Linked DNA regions of Oryzias latipes. The protein of the gene in region 2 purifies or fractionates together with the protein of the main gene of each other region. This does not show direct contact. Links are inferred from orthologs where the notes say so. Each region holds a gene or a part of one and is shown on either strand. Other genes may lie near its edges. The genes, in order: rptor and braf.

The links.
Region 1: the proteins of braf (region 2) and rptor purify together in Homo sapiens (affinity purification with mass spectrometry; 3 studies listed by BioGRID and IntAct, with this or other methods). This does not show direct contact. The link is inferred for Oryzias latipes from reciprocal best matches to the Homo sapiens genes BRAF and RPTOR.

Annotation. Positions count from the first base shown.
Region 1 is NC_019859.2:4,583,478-4,592,519, reverse strand, and holds part of rptor (regulatory-associated protein of mTOR), read left to right. Parts: intron 1-872; coding exon 873-1,064; intron 1,065-3,796; coding exon 3,797-3,937; intron 3,938-5,549; coding exon 5,550-5,670; intron 5,671-5,901; coding exon 5,902-5,970; intron 5,971-6,236; coding exon 6,237-6,377; intron 6,378-9,042. UniProt on the Homo sapiens protein: Component of the mechanistic target of rapamycin complex 1 (mTORC1), an evolutionarily conserved central nutrient sensor that stimulates anabolic reactions and macromolecule biosynthesis to promote cellular biomass generation and growth.
Region 2 is NC_019881.2:4,414,495-4,423,536, reverse strand, and holds part of braf (serine/threonine-protein kinase B-raf), read right to left. Parts: coding exon 9,014-9,042; intron 8,931-9,013; coding exon 8,646-8,930; intron 7,571-8,645; coding exon 7,467-7,570; intron 6,574-7,466; coding exon 6,471-6,573; intron 6,395-6,470; coding exon 6,246-6,394; intron 5,910-6,245; coding exon 5,790-5,909; intron 5,703-5,789; coding exon 5,543-5,702; intron 4,602-5,542; coding exon 4,562-4,601; intron 3,381-4,561; coding exon 3,244-3,380; intron 3,172-3,243; coding exon 3,054-3,171; intron 1,098-3,053; coding exon 1,013-1,097; intron 927-1,012; coding exon 750-926; intron 678-749; coding exon 631-677; intron 539-630; coding exon 420-538; intron 1-419. UniProt on the Homo sapiens protein: Protein kinase involved in the transduction of mitogenic signals from the cell membrane to the nucleus. Phosphorylates MAP2K1, and thereby activates the MAP kinase signal transduction pathway. Phosphorylates PFKFB2.

The DNA.
Region 1 (9,042 bases), on a different chromosome or scaffold from region 2:
TATTGTTAACCACGCCCACTCTCCTAATATGTTTTTGTCGTTTTTTATATTGCTTTGTTCAGCTTGAGCCAATAACTTGTGTATTAAATTTTCAAAATATTCTGGTAAACAGATGCGCGTCCAGTGAAGGAACGCTACTTTTGCAAGCTCGCTACCTTAAAATTAATGGAATTTCTAATTCCAATTATTTTTTCTTCAGCTAGTTTTAAGGTGATGCTCGAGGAATTAGGACATGATAGATAGAAAACCCTAGGAGGAGTTTAAACTTGTAGATGGTCAAATGGTTCCATGAATGTTCACGTATGTCTGAAGGACTTTTCACACATGTACCACCGGTGTATAACTTTTATATCGCGCCAACGGTGCACATATCACACTAAAATTAAGTAATTGACGCAGGATTCACTAATAAATCACATACAAAATGCGCATGAATCATTTTTTCCCACGTAAATTCACGTATGACCAGTTTTCATTCATGCGATATGTGCAAAATGTGCGTAGTGGCTGTGCGACACGGCCCTAACACTTCCTGTGTTTTTACTGACATCGACATTCAATTTAAACCATTTTAAAGCATCACCTTAAAATAAAGAATACTTTATTGCCTAAATGTTTGCTTTTCTGACTTGAAATAAGTAAAAAGATAAAAACGGATGCCTGTAAGAAAGGAAATAAACTACCAAGACAACTTTTCTTTTGTTTAGAGTAACTTAACTGAGCTGGTATTGCTGGTATCGACTGAAGTTACTTTATAGTTCACTCAGTTTTCTCTAATCTGCTTCCAGTTGTTTTCTTCTTTAATAGCAAAAGTCTAAAACAAATTTTTCCTTTAGAAAGTTCTTCAGCACCGTCTCCTCTGTCCTCTCCAGGAAGCCTGTTTGCAGGGCAACCTGATAGCCAACTGCCTGGAGCAGCTGTCTGACCCCCACCCGCTGCTCCGCCAGTGGGTGGCCATTTGCCTGGGCCGCATCTGGCAGAACTTCGACCCAGCTCGGTGGTGTGGAGTCCGAGATAGCGCCCACGAAAAGCTGTACACCCTGCTGTCGGATCCCATCCCTGAGGTGAGAAGTCAGAAACACGGCTGCAGGAAAAACCTCAAGATTTCCAAGTTCTGCTGTTAAAGGGATGAAGTATTTGTGCTGTGTGACTATTTTTGCGCTGCTGGGAACGCGATTCTCATAGGGTTTAACACCTATGTGACTGCTATTCTTATTTGAAAAGAAGTTGTCAGAAGCTGACTCTTCCCAAACGTACCCATCCTGAAGGGTGAGCTGGATCCACAGACTGTTTTTTTTTTTTAGCAGGTATATCATGACTAAAGTGGGGAGCTGTGTGGGAGCCTGAGCTGGAGGAAGACTCTACAGATGAAGCACAGAAACATGACTGTTTTAAGAATTATGCCTTTTTTATCCTGTGCTTGGCTCAGCAGTTCAGTTCTTCTGCAATTTTTTCCATCCAATTCTTCTGAAAATGAAAACATTTTCTGTGACACTTGATGAATCAACTGCTCTTGGATTGTGTAACCTGGCAGATTTCAGGGATTTTGCTCATACTAAAATATTAGTTTGGACTTACTTGGACTTGGACTTAAAAATTACATTAATAACTACAAAATATTTCTGTTCAAAATCAAGCTACATGCATATCTGAGGTCAGGAAGTACAAAAAAATCATTTTGTCTTGATGAGAAGATCCGTTTACCACATTTACAATAGTAATGCCAAAACTGTTGTCTCTCATCAAACGTTGGAAAGGTTTGATTGACAGATTTTGTGTAGCCCGCTTTCAATTGGTAGGGCTGTGGAGTTCCTTCCAATAGGCCCACTCCTGATTGTCAAGAGTAGTTGCCATAGAAACGCTGATTCAAATAAACTCAGAACAAACACTGCTTACTGTTTGGCTCCAACATTGTATCGTGAAAAAAACAGCGACTGAATTGAATTCATTTTCTATGGGTGACGTCGCACTCACTCTGTCCAGTTCAATGTGTGTTACATAAAAGTACAAATACATATATGCGTGTTATTCTCTTGTGCAGATGTAAAAGCAGGACATCTGTCTAGGTAAGGTCTACGTACACTGTCTACTCCCTGCAGAACTGGAAGAGTTAGACAACATCTGCTGGTTTTAAGTGAAAACTAAACTCAAGGACGGTAAAAGGGGGTTCAATTCCTGGAGGGGAATGAGCAATGGTACTGGGGGCAATTACCATATCAATGGCGAGCAGTTAACATCACCCAGTGAGGGTCCTTAGGCAAGACCCTTAACGATACTGCCTCCCGAGCGCGGTTTCGGCTGGTCAAATGCGGAGAAAGAATTTCCCTTCGTGGGATAAAATACAGTGTATAAAAAAAAAAAAAAAAAAAAAAAAAGATTGGACAGCTGCTATGGTCCTGTGACCGACTGATTTCTAAAGAGATGATCATTGCCTCCTATTATCAATGTGTTTCCAAACTCTAGATTTTTTGGGGTTTTTTATGGACAATACTTGAACTAAAACAAGATAAACACCTGACCAAGACCTGTGAGTCAGAAGACCACGTCCTTTTTTACACAGTTTGGCGTTCAAATATGACAAAAAAGATTTTGAATTACCTACAACACATGTCAGTAATTTGCTAAATAAAAAACAGACAAAGAATTTTGTGGATCAATAATTCAGTTTAGATTAGCGAGTTGACAATAGATACCATTTCCTATTCAAAACAATTTGATTAAATATATATTTATTAGTTTAATTTCCATTTTCAGAAATGTTTTGTTTAGTTGTAAAAACTAATTTGACTTAAATAATGACTTATACTAAACAAAGTTGGAACTTTCAGGGATAAAACAATGAGTTTTGACCAAAATAAAACCCAAATAGAAAAGCTATTTCTGCCTTAAAAAAGTAATTTAAATTTTAAAACTAATTTAGAGATCTTAAGAATCAGAATTGCAGTTTTTAATTTTAATTAATCCTTCTTTAAACCCAGCTCTAGAGCTGTATGTCAAAATCTGTTGAAATGTTAGAAGCAGCTTTTAGTTGTAACAAACCCCCGCAGGCTAATTGGTGAACTGCGCCCTGCTCCACTTGCTTTCATTCGGAAATAATCTTAATCTACAAAGATAAAGAGGTTGCTGATTGGTTAAAAAATATACATCCACTAGAGCGAGAAAATCCAAACTGTCATCTATAGTTTTGTGTTGAAAGTGAAGATTATTTATCAGTGTTGCACATTCATAGTATGGGACTCCTCATATGTTTTAGCTAAAAGCTAAATTTAGGTAAATATTTCTTCAGTTTTAGCTCAGTTTGTGACCTAATTTCCTAATTGAGGCTTTTCTGAGAGGGAGTAAAGAAACAGTTATTGTCTTTTATGCATGTTTTTTTCCATATGTCAGAAAAATAGAAGCATAAAGATGTTTACTCTGTTTACTGTCGATGGGCGTGGCCCGCCAAACAAAGCCATCAGGTCTATCCGAGTGGCCACGCCCCCTTCTCTCTGAGAGACTCACTGAAGCAGAGACAAAAGCGTCAATGTTAAAACTCTGCACAAAGAGGCTTCAGGACTAATGATCTCTGCGTTTCACTCTCACGCTGAGCCGGAAAATTGAACTGTAATGACCTCGAATACTTTCATCCACTTGTCTCTATAGTCATTAAAGCATTTTTGTGTGATTCTGGTGAGCAAATATTTGACTTTCAAAGGCTGAAAACTGAGCTCGGACGGGAATTCATTAATGTCATTACAGCCAAGTTCTCCCTGAAGGACAGATAGACGAGCTCTTTGTCTGGTTTGTGTGACTGCAGGTGAGGTGTGCAGCTGTCTTTGCTCTGGGAACATTTGTCGGAAACTCCGGAGAGAGGACGGATCACTCCACCACCATCGACCACAACGTGGCGATGATGCTGGCGCAGCTTATCAATGATGGCAGCCCTGTGGTCCGGAAGGTCTGTGAAGCACAAAAACATCCACATGCTAAGCTCTGTGTGCTGTAATGCTGACTTTAATGCAAAAAATATACATTTAAATCATTAAAAGACAGTTTTTCTGGTGTTTATTCTCTGAGAACAAACGTAGAAATCACATTGCTGGACAAAGACAATTTTCTGACATTTTGGAAACTTCATCAGATGTGTTTGTAGGAATGGGGTGAGTGTTTACCCCTGCCTCCTGAATGCTAACTTAAAAACTAATTACCTCCCAGTTGGAGTCTTAAACTTACAGCCCTGACAGGAGTGAAGCTGCAGAGCTCTCCTCCCACTCTCTACAAATAAAAGCAACATTTCTCTGAAGGTGTAAGCAGCACTTTTAGCACTCCAAAACCATTTGTTTTGAGGAGATTTCTGAGTTAAACTAAGATACTTCCATGTGTGTAACCACAGATAATCAAAGGAAAACATCCGAGACGTGATAACGATTTATACCATGGTCCAGGGGAATACTCGATTCTGATTGGCTGCTGGGTGTGAACTAAAATGTGATAATGGACAGTGATAATGTACACCTAAATATGAAGTTCCGTTCACATAGCCCATATGTTCTGTATCGCTGTACTGGCTTCTTTGAAACAAACTTTTGCTTCATTGTCTGGATAAAAACAAGTGGTGAACCTTACCTCGAAAATTATTCTTTGGATCACTTTTCAGGATTTTTGCACCTTTACTGCTTTCCCCTGCTGGTTAGTCCTCACATCATCTGCAGCAGATTGAGAGGTTCTGTACCCATTACCATGACAATGAGTCACAGCCCATGTTTAAAAGTCTGCTTCTTGTGAAAAACTGATTAAACATTTAAAGGTCTATATCATGACAAAATTCCTTTTTATTAGCTTTTAAGTGTATTATAATGTTCAACCCCAAAGTGGTATTTTGCTCCATTCCAGCATCTCTGAGTATTCCTCTAAAATCCTGCACTCTGAGCACCAGCCCCTCCCAATCCACAAAAACAAGCGGGTCCTCACATTGTGACATCACAAAGTGAGAACAGCCCCTTCCAGGAAGATTTTGCACTGCCATCACGGCTCCCAGGCTAACACACACACTTTCTCAGGGTAGCTAGCTGTGACTGACTAAACATTTTTATTTTATATGTACATCCATCTTTGCAAAAGTTCGGATGTTTGATTTCGTGGGCTCTAGGTTGACGTCACAGGAGAAAAAGGCAGTGCCTCAGAGATCGAGTTTTTACAGTAACTGTAAAAAAATGACTCATATTTAATTAAAAAAAATGTGTTCCTTAGTGTGCCAAAGGTAATATATATTATCATATATTTATCAATATATATATATATATATATATATATATATATATATATATATGGATATGGTTTACTCTGAAAGGCTTAAGAAAAGCATGATATAAGTGTTTAAAAAAAAATCAAGATTGAAGTACTAATAATTTATGTACTATTTATTCCTTTGGTAAGTGGCCATGGTATAAGCAGGAAAAAGCCCTTTGAGAAATTTATGGACTTGACGGAAGCAACCGTCCTACATGACAGGAAGAAAATCTGTTTGGGAGTTACTGGATTCTCTGAATGTGTTTATATTTTTTTTTCAGGAGCTGGTGGTCGCGCTGAGTCACCTGGTGGTTCAGTATGAAAGCAACTTCTGCACAGTTGCCCTCCAGTTTATAGAAGAAGAGAAGAACTACTCGGTGCCGTCACCCGCTAACACTACAGGTACACACCTGGCGACACCAGCGCCTTGTCTCCCAAACTTCATAGCAGCAGCTGCTAAAACATGTCAGCAATCGCAGCTTATGCCATTTCTCCACATTGTTCTGGCAGTTTTTTTCCTCCTCCTTCTGACAAAAACATGACTTGAAAAGGACTTTCCAGTCTGAAACCGTTGAGATGGAGGTGGAGATGAAGCGTGTTTTTCCAAATATGTTTTGCGTTTATCCATCACAGGGTTTAGAATAAATTTAAGGAGGAGCTCAAGGGATCTAAAGCTGGAAATAAGCTTCTCTTCTCAGTCAGGTGTGTAGGGGTTGCAGGGGTAAGTTTATGAGGAAGTTCTACATTCATGGACCACACTTTTGTTTGAAACCTCACTGGGGTTTAATCAACCAATCCTGTTGCTTTATACACCGGGGGAGCACTGAATTCTAGGACAGTAATTACTCTTTTTCCCTAACCTATCCTGTAATTTGGAATCTATTCGTAAATCCTTTTGTGAGAAGAGAAGAGCTTTTTTTTTTTTTTTTTTTTAATGCTCTAACCTGTTGCTGTCTGCTGCTGATTAGAGCCTGGGAACCTCACGCCAGTAAGGGACAGTCCCGCCATCCCCCGCCTGCGATCTGTCAACTCCTACACCAACATCCGAGCTGTCACCACCGCCCGGAATCTGAATAAAAGTCTGCAGAACCTCAATCTCAACGAGGAAGGTGAGACCCCAGGGAAAGCTGGGAAATAGAGGATGAGAGAACATGATAAAGATCACATGTCCGAATTCCCTCGGTACTACTCAAAAGGCAATAAGCAGTAGTGCCAGACTATCCATTATGCATTAATTCAGAAGCACGCTGAATACTTTTTATTTTATTTTTATTTTTTAAGTTTTTTAAATGTCACCTATGACATTAGCCAAACTAAAACCTAGCAAATATTAACATTTGACAAAGACTCAACTGTATCTGATGATGAAAACTTCTATAATTAAATAAATAAATAAACTTCATAAATATTTTTCGTTCAACCACAACGCATAGGTCTATACTCACCAATTTAGTGAGCATCAGTGCGCACAGAGAAATCTCCGGGTCACTGGATGTTAGAATTGTTGATTCGGATTCCGACAAAATGATGAGGGCCTTATAAAGTGCTCTAACCAGGGAGTAGTGAGTGAGTTCAGACACAAACATAACTTTAAAGGAGGGCTACTGAGGATTCAGTTAGTGAAGGAAATAGTAACAATCAGAGTAAAAGATCATCAGAACATTTACTGTACAGATACAGTTGCTGTTTAAAGCCTAAGACTTTCATTATTTTTGCTACAACTTTCTTCTTAAATTAAATGTTGAAGATGATCAGAGTTTGGGGTTGATGTGGCTTTAAACACTTTTGTTCTGAGAGTCTTTCCCCCCCCCAGATTTCTGCAACTATAAATTACTTTTGCCATCTATTTTGCATTTTTACTTAACAGCAGTTATCGTTAAACCTCGTTTTCACCAGTCCGGTTTAGCTAACAACAACAATAGAGGTCATCCAGCAGCTCATTTTTCTCTGCTTGTCTTTTGGTACTTCAAGTAGATTAAGGAATGCTGTTTGAGAGAAGTTTGCCGGCGGTGAAGAGGAGTTCAGCAGCTTTTTTTGGTGCCTTCATTTGTTGTAATCACTTTCAGCCAATCAACGGGTTTCAATAGCAGCTTCGCCCCAACTATTTTTCTGTGGACCTATAAACGACCGGGGCCCAAAAATAATACGACTCACTCCAGCTTAATGGGTCCATTTTATAACGGAAACACTTAAAATACCAAACGGGACTGTACCGGACCACTCAGTGAAAGCGAGGCATTAATGTCTGTTGTTGCTCTTTCCCACTTAAGAAAAAAGTATATTTCTTAGTTTCCCTCCTGGATGTCAGTATTAATATACCTTACTTTTATCATGTATTCCATATTTGTTTACGCTGCTAAGCTCCTCTGCTTCTGGTTGATTATCATCATCGTGACGCGGGAACTGTCCGTGGTGCTGAAGACAAGGAGTCTGCCACTTAACCCACTTTGACCTCACACAACATGTGGGCTTTTACAAATCAGTTCCAACATTTAATATTATTTTAAATCTTAACATTTTTGGGATTTTTAGTTGAAAAACTTAAAACACTCATTTGTTATAATTTGGCTTTCCTGCAGAACAAAAGATAATCAACATTTCAGATCTCCAAGAGCTCCTAAAAATGACTGTATTCTACTTTTTTGTTGCTTGTTAATCACAATGAAAATATTTGACATGGGACACAAAATGTTTATTCATACAAAATATTTAAAAATATGACTTTGCTGATTTATACTGATCAGTGAATCAGACTGTGTACACTGTAATTACCTCATATTTAAATGGTAAGATCTGACAATTCTTATTAAATATTTAAAATGACAGGATCTTTATTACCTCATAACAAATAAACACTGTGAGTTGAAAAGGTGTCTTTTGAAGCTTTAAAAGAAGGGTTTAAGATTCAAAGATTAGTTTGTTTATTGACTTTTTTAAACATTTTGTCTCAGAGTGGATTGTTTTCTTTACACAATCATCAAACATGTATGTAAAAATATTATGTCACAACCAAACAGTCGTATATTTAGGCACACCCCTTCTGAAAAATGACCCATTAGTTCTTGTTTTTAGGTGAATCAGAACCCAGTTTAGATGTTTTGGGTTAGACACAGTGTTTTTAATCCCCCTTTATCTTTTTTTACAAGCCGATATGATCAGAGGAGAAAGATCAATCAGAGCGGTGATAATCGGCTGCAAAAATGTCGGTTTACCAACTGTGGAAACGGTTGACTGCCAGAAGTATTGTTCCGTATTTAAACACCAATCTGATTTCTTACCAAACTGCGACTCTTCTTCTTATGCTGAAGGCGTTAGAATGTGTCGGTTACTTAAAGGAGACTTTTTTCGCCCACTCTCCCTGATCCTATAGATCTCTTTGATACAGGTTGCACTGACACATCTAGGTTCAGCTTTTGCGTTACACAACTCAATGGAATAGTATTCCTTGATCTTTCAGGAACCGTAGAAAAAAAGTTAAACTTGTGGAAGCTCCCATGGAAAAGGTTGCAACTTTTTTACTGAAGAGATTTGTTCCGACTGTCAGTCACATCCCTGTTATTGGACCGTTTTCTTCCACAACCTTTTGAGCACCCAACCTGCCTTGACTTATGTGCTGCAAGCCCTCTGTGTCTCTGTCACATCTCAGTGATTTAGGCTGGTAGGGCAGCTGCACTCTCCCTGTGTACCGCTGCCAGACTGAGCATGGACAAGCCCTAAGTAGCTCTAAATCTCCGGAACTTGCCAAAGTGCCTCACCTGCTGCCGACTCCATTTC
Region 2 (9,042 bases):
CAGGTAGCAACTGTCCAGTGTGAACATCGTACGCTAAAAGCGTTCAAGAACGCCCATTTAGAGCGTTCACATGCCTGGTATGAACATAGGATCAAACAACACGCAAAGGAAAGTAAGGGGAAAGTAGGCGAGTGCGTCAGTAGTGTGTCGTACGAATTTTTCACGTACGACAATCAATCACAATCAATACACTTAAACACGAACGACAACGGCACGTTCCATTTTTATGACATCCCTTGAAGTGGCCGTACGAGCCTCAAGGGAACTGCAAGACACACCCTTCAAGATGCAGCTCTCTACAGGCCCAGACAACCCAAACACCCGCAGCACCCGTACAGGTCAACCCCCCTACGGATGCGTGTGCCCACGGCTTAGGTTAGTTAAAGAAGAGTTGAACTGGTGAGAAGGTGGTAACCAACCATCCAAAGGATGGAGCCAGACAGCTGTTCAAACTGGTGGGAGCCACTCCAGCGAGATTTGACTGTTGCCAGGCCAAAGTCTCCAATTTTCACCGTCAGGTCTTCATGTAGGAAAATATCTGGGAGGAAATCGGGTCAAGGACATGTTTTCAACAGGGTTCCCCCCCCTCACTCAATCCCTCCATCAAGCAGACCAACATTATAAGGATACTGTTGCTCTTTAGATCTCTGTGGATGATGGACTTGGCGTGCAGGTAGCTGAGGATGGAAGCAGAGGGCTTTATGGGTAACTGCATGCCGAGCGTGAGTAAAACAGGTAGAGGAACTCACTCCATGCCCTGGGCGGTCTGTCGGGCGATGTCGATCAACTTGATCATCTCAAACTTGGTCTCGATGATGTGCAGGTGGTGGTACAGACTAGAACCCTCACACCACTGGGTCACGATGGCCAGCTGAGGCTTGGTAGTGTAGCCCATGAACAGTAGGATGTTGACATGGCGCGTTTTCCTGACGCAAACACACCTTATTTAGCCTCTGTTGGAGTTTAACAGAAGAAAGGCACTGCGGAGTGACGACCCATCCTAGGGAATTACCTGAGGACGCCTACTTCATTCTTGAAGGCCTGAAGCTGCTGAGGCGTGGGATCGGTGACGTTCAGCATCTTCACTGCCACGTCACCTATGACAGGAGTGTAGCAGCAACATTTAAGAAACATCAGAGCAGGGATGCAGGGAGCCACACGAAAGACATTCCTGTTATCTCCTGCTTCAATGTCAAACCAGAAGTATTAGTTCAAGAAGATTGGACCAAAGATGGAAGAACATTCCATCTAAAGCACATCTGAACTGCAGGCCAAAGGCCGTATCACACAGCCACTGCGTTCATTTTGTGCATTTCCCACGTATGAAATGTTGCTGTTTCATGATTTATACATAATTCATGAGTTTTTCTTGCGTTCGTCACGATGTCCCTCGAGGGTATGGGCCGACTGGTCTTAACGTGAATTCGGTTTTGAGCCGTTTACGATTTTTGGTCGATTGAGTTTTTTTTACCTGTTTATTTGTACTTTACATAGTTTATACTCAATTATAAAGTAAATCTTACGTAACTGTGAGGGATTTTTGTTAGATGCATACTGGGGATAGGCTGATTTCATTTTTTCCGGCCAAAAGCAATAATTGATATTACCCCTACAACTGTGGCCGATAACCGATATTTAGGTGTCTACAATAACCAAAGTTTATATTTCCCTTTTGTGTCTTTATTAGAAATGCACAACTTTTCGTTTGCTGTACAATCACATTTTGCTTGACCTTTTTAACATACAAAAGGGATCTTAAAGGAGCAAGTATCACTTTAAAACTTTGAGTATATATTTAAAAACATTCATACTATTGATTGACTGTAGGACACAACTGTAAACCATAAGCTTCCTAGTGCCGGGGATCTATTATGAACAAGTGCCCATTTCAATAATAAAGTGTATTTGAAAACAGTCAGACAAGTACTGGTTGATTTTTTTAAATATCGATAACGATACAGATTGTTAGAAATTATGCAAATAAATATCCGATACCGACACCGACGTCTCACCCATCCCTAATGCGTACGCACATTTGTGGCTGTCCACGGCCGTTCCACGTATGTCTAACGGACTTTTCACGCATGTACCAGAGATGTTTCACTTTACAGCGCATTTATCTTTGAGCTTCACTTTTGAATTTGTTAACTCATTAATTATTGTGTTTTTAATTGAGTATTTCTGAACCTTTGGACCTCTGTTTTGTACACATTGTCCTTGAGTTTCTTGAAAGGTGAATTTAAATAAAATGGATTATTGTTTTTAGTATATCACATTCAAATTACTTAGTTGGACCACAAATCACTAATGAATTGAGTATAAACAGCACAACAATCACACACGGGTCATCTTCTATGTTTTACGGGTTCTTAGCGTGGTTTATTCATACTTTTTCCGGGGTTTTAACGTGATTCTTTCCTGATAAAGAACCTTTCTGACTTTTTCACGTATGACCAGTTTTCATTGGTGCAATAGCTCCAAATGTACGTAGTGGCTGTGTGGTACTGCCTTCAGATTCCCTCACTTCCAGTAACTTCACCCAGTATAACATTAGTGTAGTGTATGGACTAGATAATTATTTGTCTCCAACTCTGACTACAATGTTCCTGAAAGTAGCTGTAATATTTATGACCTACCCCGGCAGTTAGCTATCTACTTCATTCTTACAGTGAAGACATTTTACTTCATCCTGATTACAGATACCAGTCTATACTTTTGTACATTTATGTTCTGGGGGGTATAAGGTGAGGACTTCTCTTAGCAGGTGACAGTAAACATCACTGATATCCAGCTCTGTATGATGAGACGGCTGCATTTTCACAGTGACCGAATCCCAGAAGTCTTTCTTTCCGTCTTTGTTTTTCAGGGGATTGACATGGTACTGAATGAAACCTTAAAGTCTGTATGGGTGCACACAGACTGGTAATGTTCTGAACTAAACAGAGCAGAAGCTCCAGTTTGAGCTGCCATCTTGGATTGTTTTGGCTTGAAGGAGAGCAGAGAGGTTACATGACTCAGAAGAGTCTACAAAATAATGCTGGTTGGATCCATACCGTGCCATTTTCCCTTAAAGACGGTTCCGAAGGATCCGGAGCCTATCCTCTGACCCAAAGTGATCTGGCCTTCCGGGATCTCCCAGTCGTCGCTGGAGTCTCTCCTGCCCAGCGGTTTCTGCTCCACAGGACAGGAAGTCAGAGCGACCACACGCTGTGCCGCGGCACAGCCCTGACTGACGCCTCTCACCATCTTATTGCGATCCTCAGAGGATGAAGACGACTTGCGCTCCCTCTGTTGACACGGCGACTTCTGTGGGACTTTGACGTTGGTCAGAGAGCCAGGTAGCGAGGCTGGAGGCGTGGCCGATAGACCGGTAGTGGAGCCTGAGGGAGGATGATGATGAAGAAGAAGGTGGATCAGGTGTGTGAGGCTCATGAAAGCTGGAGATTTCAAACTTGACGTCATCTCCAGTCCACCTGCAGTCAGAACCTCAGAGCACGAACCCAGAGTTTGTTTCTGTAATCTCAGGTTTGTTGGCAGAGACAAGTCTCCTTCGGCTGACTTTCTTCCTAAAACACTAGGGACCCCCCCAAATCCAACAGTAGGTCATAAATTTGTGAAGGGGGGGCTTTGAACTTAGATGTTTTTATGCAAGCATCTCAGTCACATTTACACAAACATACAAGCACCGTGATCAAGACAGGAAGTGTCAGTTTGGCTCTCAAAGGCGCATTCAGTTATGAGGAGCTGCTTCCTCCTGTCCTGTGTCACATAAGTCCAGTGATGGGGAGTTCACTGAGCCGTCCTCTCTGAGGCTCAGTGTCATGGTAGCCCTCGGTTTGAAGACCGCCAATAAACTTCTTTAAAACTGTGACTAAAAGCCGCTAGAAACGGAGCTCAGCGAATCTGACGAATGAGCAGAAACACCTCAGCAATCATCAGCACGTGTGACGATGTCTGACAGACATTTGACGTATTTAATGATGGGAGAGGATTCACCCCAACAGCTAAGAAGTCTTTATGAAGACTAGACCGTAAATTCAAAAGGACTCCTTTAACCAACCCCTGCTGGTTCTGTCAGGTCATCGTGTTGTTTTTTTTAAACCTCCTCCATCAGCAGAAGTGCGCTGACACTCTGACATCTGTTCTGTGGTTACTAGAAGAAAAGTCTGAAAGCAAGAATGCCACATACTATAGAAAAGATGAGCATAGATTTAAGCTAATTTGAAAAAGTGCAGTAAGATGCACTAAAACTCTGTGAATTGGCTGTGAAACAGATTTGACAAAAGTTGCTGTAATTTTCACCTCAATGTGTTTTCTATGCAGTTATGATAAATGTTAATTTGCATCATTTAAACCTAAGACAAAGCTTGAATGTAGAAATTCCTGTTTGCAAATGGCCATGGAATTGAAATTGTGTGTACATGAAGGCATCGTTCACTGTTGGCTTTAACGTTGACATGCTTCTGCCTTGGGCTGCTGTGCACTACAGCCCTCAGACATAATGATGGACAGGTGGAGTTCCAGGTTGAGGGGGGCACATGGGTAAAGACTGGGATCTCACCTCCGTCAGACCTCTGCAGGCCCTGATCCCGAATAAGGTCCTGGAACAAGGGAGGGAAACATCAGCCAGAGGAAATGGACTGAGAAAGTCACAGTCAAAATGTAAATGATTCCTTTTTCCCCATTCAGTTTAAACCGGTCAGTATCTGCGTTTCCTTTACACACAAACGTTATCAAAAATCTAGGAATGTCGAAAAAACACAAATTCTCAATTACACAGTTTCAATTGAACCATAATTATGCGAATAAACACAAACCAACTAGTGATAACTCATTCAAAATCATAGTGATGGATGAGGAAAGTACTTTGATTTAGAACCGATACATTCAGATTTCTGCCACGACACTAACCTCATCATTATGTAATGTGCAACAATGATTACTGACATGTTTTAAATTAGAATAAGCTATTGATCTTATCTACTCGATCTGCAATGTGTAGCAATAATTACTGGTTTAATTAGTTCTAATGATAATCAATGATTATTACAGATCAACTACTGTTTACTGACAGCATGAATGAATGTTTTCTGAAGATAATCAATCCTTCATAAACCCTGGATTCTGTTACTTGAAAAGAGATTTACTGATCAGAACGGGATTACAAAAACTGTGTAAAACTGTCAAATTTATTCATTTATTAGGGTTGGGATTTTATAAGCTCGATTCTTCCCATCCTTTTCAAGAAATAAAGCAAGTTTTACATGACTTCAGGTAATGATCACAATATTTAATTAAGCAAATGTTTTTTTGTTTTGCTTTATATTTTTTAATTGATGAAGTTCATCATTTCTGTAATGAGTTTGATAAATCTGTGTGAATTCTTCACTGCTTTGACTACAAAGCGTAAAATCAATCAATCAATCAATAAATCAATCAAAGGAGACGTCTGCGTCTTCGTCAGGCTGTGGAGAGCAGTGAGCTCCTTTGAGGTGAAACCGTTTTGGGAAATGGTGGTTGGTGATTTTACAGAGAAACTCACATCGATGTTGACAGGCTCAATGGTGTTGATATGGACGTTGGGGGCCGAGGACGAGCGGTCCCGCTGGCCAAACTGGTTGCGGTGGTCTTCCTCGTTGGGTCGGTAACTAGGCGGGATGGGGATGGACTTGGAGGGGGACAGAGTGGGGTGACATATAGACCTGAAGACAGAACAAAGAGTAGATCAATGAGCCTTAAGGCCACTTGACTGCCAAACCCCTCCGAAAAGCGAGAGGACGAAGGCTCACCCTGTGGAGTCGGTGAGGGGGAGGTGTGGACAGACTTCAGACACGGGGGTGGTTCCCTCTGAGGAGACCTCCTCATGGCTGAACGGGTGGTGCTCAAAGAACTTTGACACGAGCAACAAACTGCAGAAAATAAACGAGTGATAAATGAGAACTCCAACAGCTCAGACAGGAGACAAGCCATGAACCAGCTCAGTGGCCCTGTGGTAGAGTGTCCACCCGGAGACGGGAAGGTCGCGAGTTCATGGCTGGGTCAAACCAAAGACTTTAAAAATGGGACCTAGTGTCTCCCTGGTTGACACTCAGCATTAAGGGTTGGATTGGAAGGTTAAACACCCACGGGGTTCCCGAATGCAGATGGGGGGAGAGCAAACGCATGACAGCTAATGGGGCGCTAGAACAAACATGGCGGCCTGGAAACACACCCGCGAGGTGAGGAGGTGGACTCTCTGGACTTACTCCAGCTGGTCGTAGTTGACACACATGAGGGGGACCTCGGTGCTGCAGCGCTGGTGGAACTTGTAGCCACAGGTCTGACAGCGGAAACCCTGGAAGAGCAGCTTTCTGCAGAAATCACAGAAGGCCAGAGTGAAGAAGGTCTTCCTCACCTGTGAAGCACACAGACAGAAAGTCAAGGTTAGAGGATTCGGACGCTGCACCTCAGCCCCCTTACCCCCTACTTACAAAGTTGTGAGTGGTGAGCGGCACGTTCTCCAGCACCTCCACATGCAGCTCCTCCCCCGTCAGCCAGGAGATGTCGGTGTCCCAGCCTATGGGCTTCTTCTCTCTGGCACCAAAAGTGAAAGTACTTTAGAGGAGAAGTTGCAGCCCGTTGCCAAACACATTGCCACACACGGATCTGCGCCCACTCTGGTTTCCATAGAAAACTGGCCTGACCTGTTGAGCTCTCAGACTCAATAGTTTTCGCCTGTTGGATGTTACTTCTGTGTGCTGCAGGTCCTCGTTGGGGCGTCTGTACTGTATTTACAACACTCAACATTTCCACCAGCTCATCACCGCACACATCTGCATATTACGCTAACATATACCTCTAACTTTTGTAATAAATAGCTTTAAATTTCTCATTTGCCACTTTCTCTGGTCTCCATGTTATTCATGACTTGAACAAGTCAGTTTCAACAGTGCAGAACGATGGTTAAAGACCTAAACGGAGGAAAATAGTGTTTTGAACATGTTTTTATGGCATTTTTCAAATGATTGAGGACATTTTTATAGAAAATGATGCTTGAAATTACATTTTGGAGTATTTCTTTTTCCAAATCAGGAGCAGACAAAAAAAAAAAAAAGAGATTATTTGTGACGTACAAAATACACTGAGCGGACCTCAAGCTCCCTGCTCTGCTCCATTCTGATGCATCAACTTGTAGACAAATAGATCCATGAACGTCTGGAATCTAGATCCAAACTAGAGGCGTAACGATTAATCCACAAAACGATTTCTATTCCTGGTATAGAACAGATCGATCGGTCTGAGGCAGAATCGAATCGAATCAACCTATACCATTAAAAATAATTATAGGGCATAAGACCAATACGTTGATGATACACGTTACGATCTGATGCGCCCTATAGACATTTCTGCCATCACTCATTGTGATCCTCCTCCTTAGAAGAAAAGGCTTTGGTTTCCTTGAGTAGGGCAGATGGTGTCAGACTCACCCGTCCTGTATCCTGTAGACGGCGCAGCACTCGGGTATGAGTCCCCTCATCATCAGAGCCTTCTTCAAGGAGTCTCTCACCGTCATCCCGCAGCGGGCTGGAACCTGAGGACCACACATATCACTAAGGACCAATCAGGCTCAGACCATTGACCTGTTCAAAACAGGAAGTACTGTTGGTTCCAAGAAGCCAAAAATTCCATAGAATCTATAGCGAAATAAACAGCTGTTAGTCAGTCGTTCTATTGGTCAGAGTAACCATACTTGATGTGATACCTTTTTTCTTAACATGTTCTTCATAATCCTCATTTTTTCACGATATTTTTTGTAGTTCAATCAGATGCCTCAATAAAAGTAGGTGGTCTCACGTTGAAACCGTTTGACACATTTCGTGGAGCCTGCTCACAGTGGTAGGGGTGTGGACTTCCAACAAGCTCACTCCTGATTGGTGGTTGCCATAGAAACGATTACTCAGACCTACCTGGACCAATCACTGCTTATTGACAGTCCAACATGGTCAAAACATGGAAGGCATCCATATCACGGATAACGGTGACTGTATTGACATCACGCATTGGAGCCAGAAATAAGACATCTTCTATGAGTGATGTCAAACTCACTCAGTCCAGTTCTCATATACAGTCAATGGTTCAGACATTACAAACGGAGTTGGTGTACCCTGGACTGATCTGGTTAGAAGTAACAGGAGATCCTGTTCACTGACAGCCAGGTAGATGCAGACCTGATAATATCTTCTCCCCTTTGAAGCACTAAGTAAACGTTGGCATGCTGCCACTGAGGAAGTGGAGTTGTGACAAACAGAACACGCCCTCAGAGGTTTTACATATCAGGAAAAAGCAGAACTTCCTCCAGACTCATCTTCCTCAACCTCTCTGTTGCGCATGTGCTGCTGTACAGGAACCCTGGACCCCATTCTATGACCTTTTCAGCCTTTTCTGTAGACACAACCATGCTGGAGGTCATTGAAAACCTCTATTTAAATAAAGGTTTCAGGCCCTCCCATTGGATGATGCATTCATGGTCATTAAAACCGTATAGTCAAAGCAGAACCCACAAGATGTTTTCATGTGATCATTTGCTTATTATTTAAAACACATGTGGAGGGAAAGTGAAGTGCTCTGGGGTTTCTCAGAGTAAATGAATGAGTCATCAGACTTACCACTGTTCTCTGCTTGTTGGGCAGGAAGACCCTGACGATGGGCTTCTGTGGGGACCGAGGGTTGCCTCGGACGGCGTCTGTGGGAGTCTGCAGGACCGCTAAACTGTTGGGCGCCGAGGCAAAGGACTGGACCCCCCCTCCGACCCCCAGGCTTCCCATCTTGACCTCCAGCAGGGCTGGCACAGGGGAGGGGCTGCAGAAGTCGCCGCCGTTCCCCATGGCCTCCAGCAGCTGCTGCTCCCGTTGCTGCAGCGCATCCAGCTTACTGGTGTACTCTTCATAGGCCTGGAGGAACATTGCAGACAAGCGGGCAGAACATCAACCTCCAGCTTTTACTTGAATAAAGGTTCTGGTCAAACTGGTCTCACCTCCAAATAGATGGATGGAGGATTGTGTT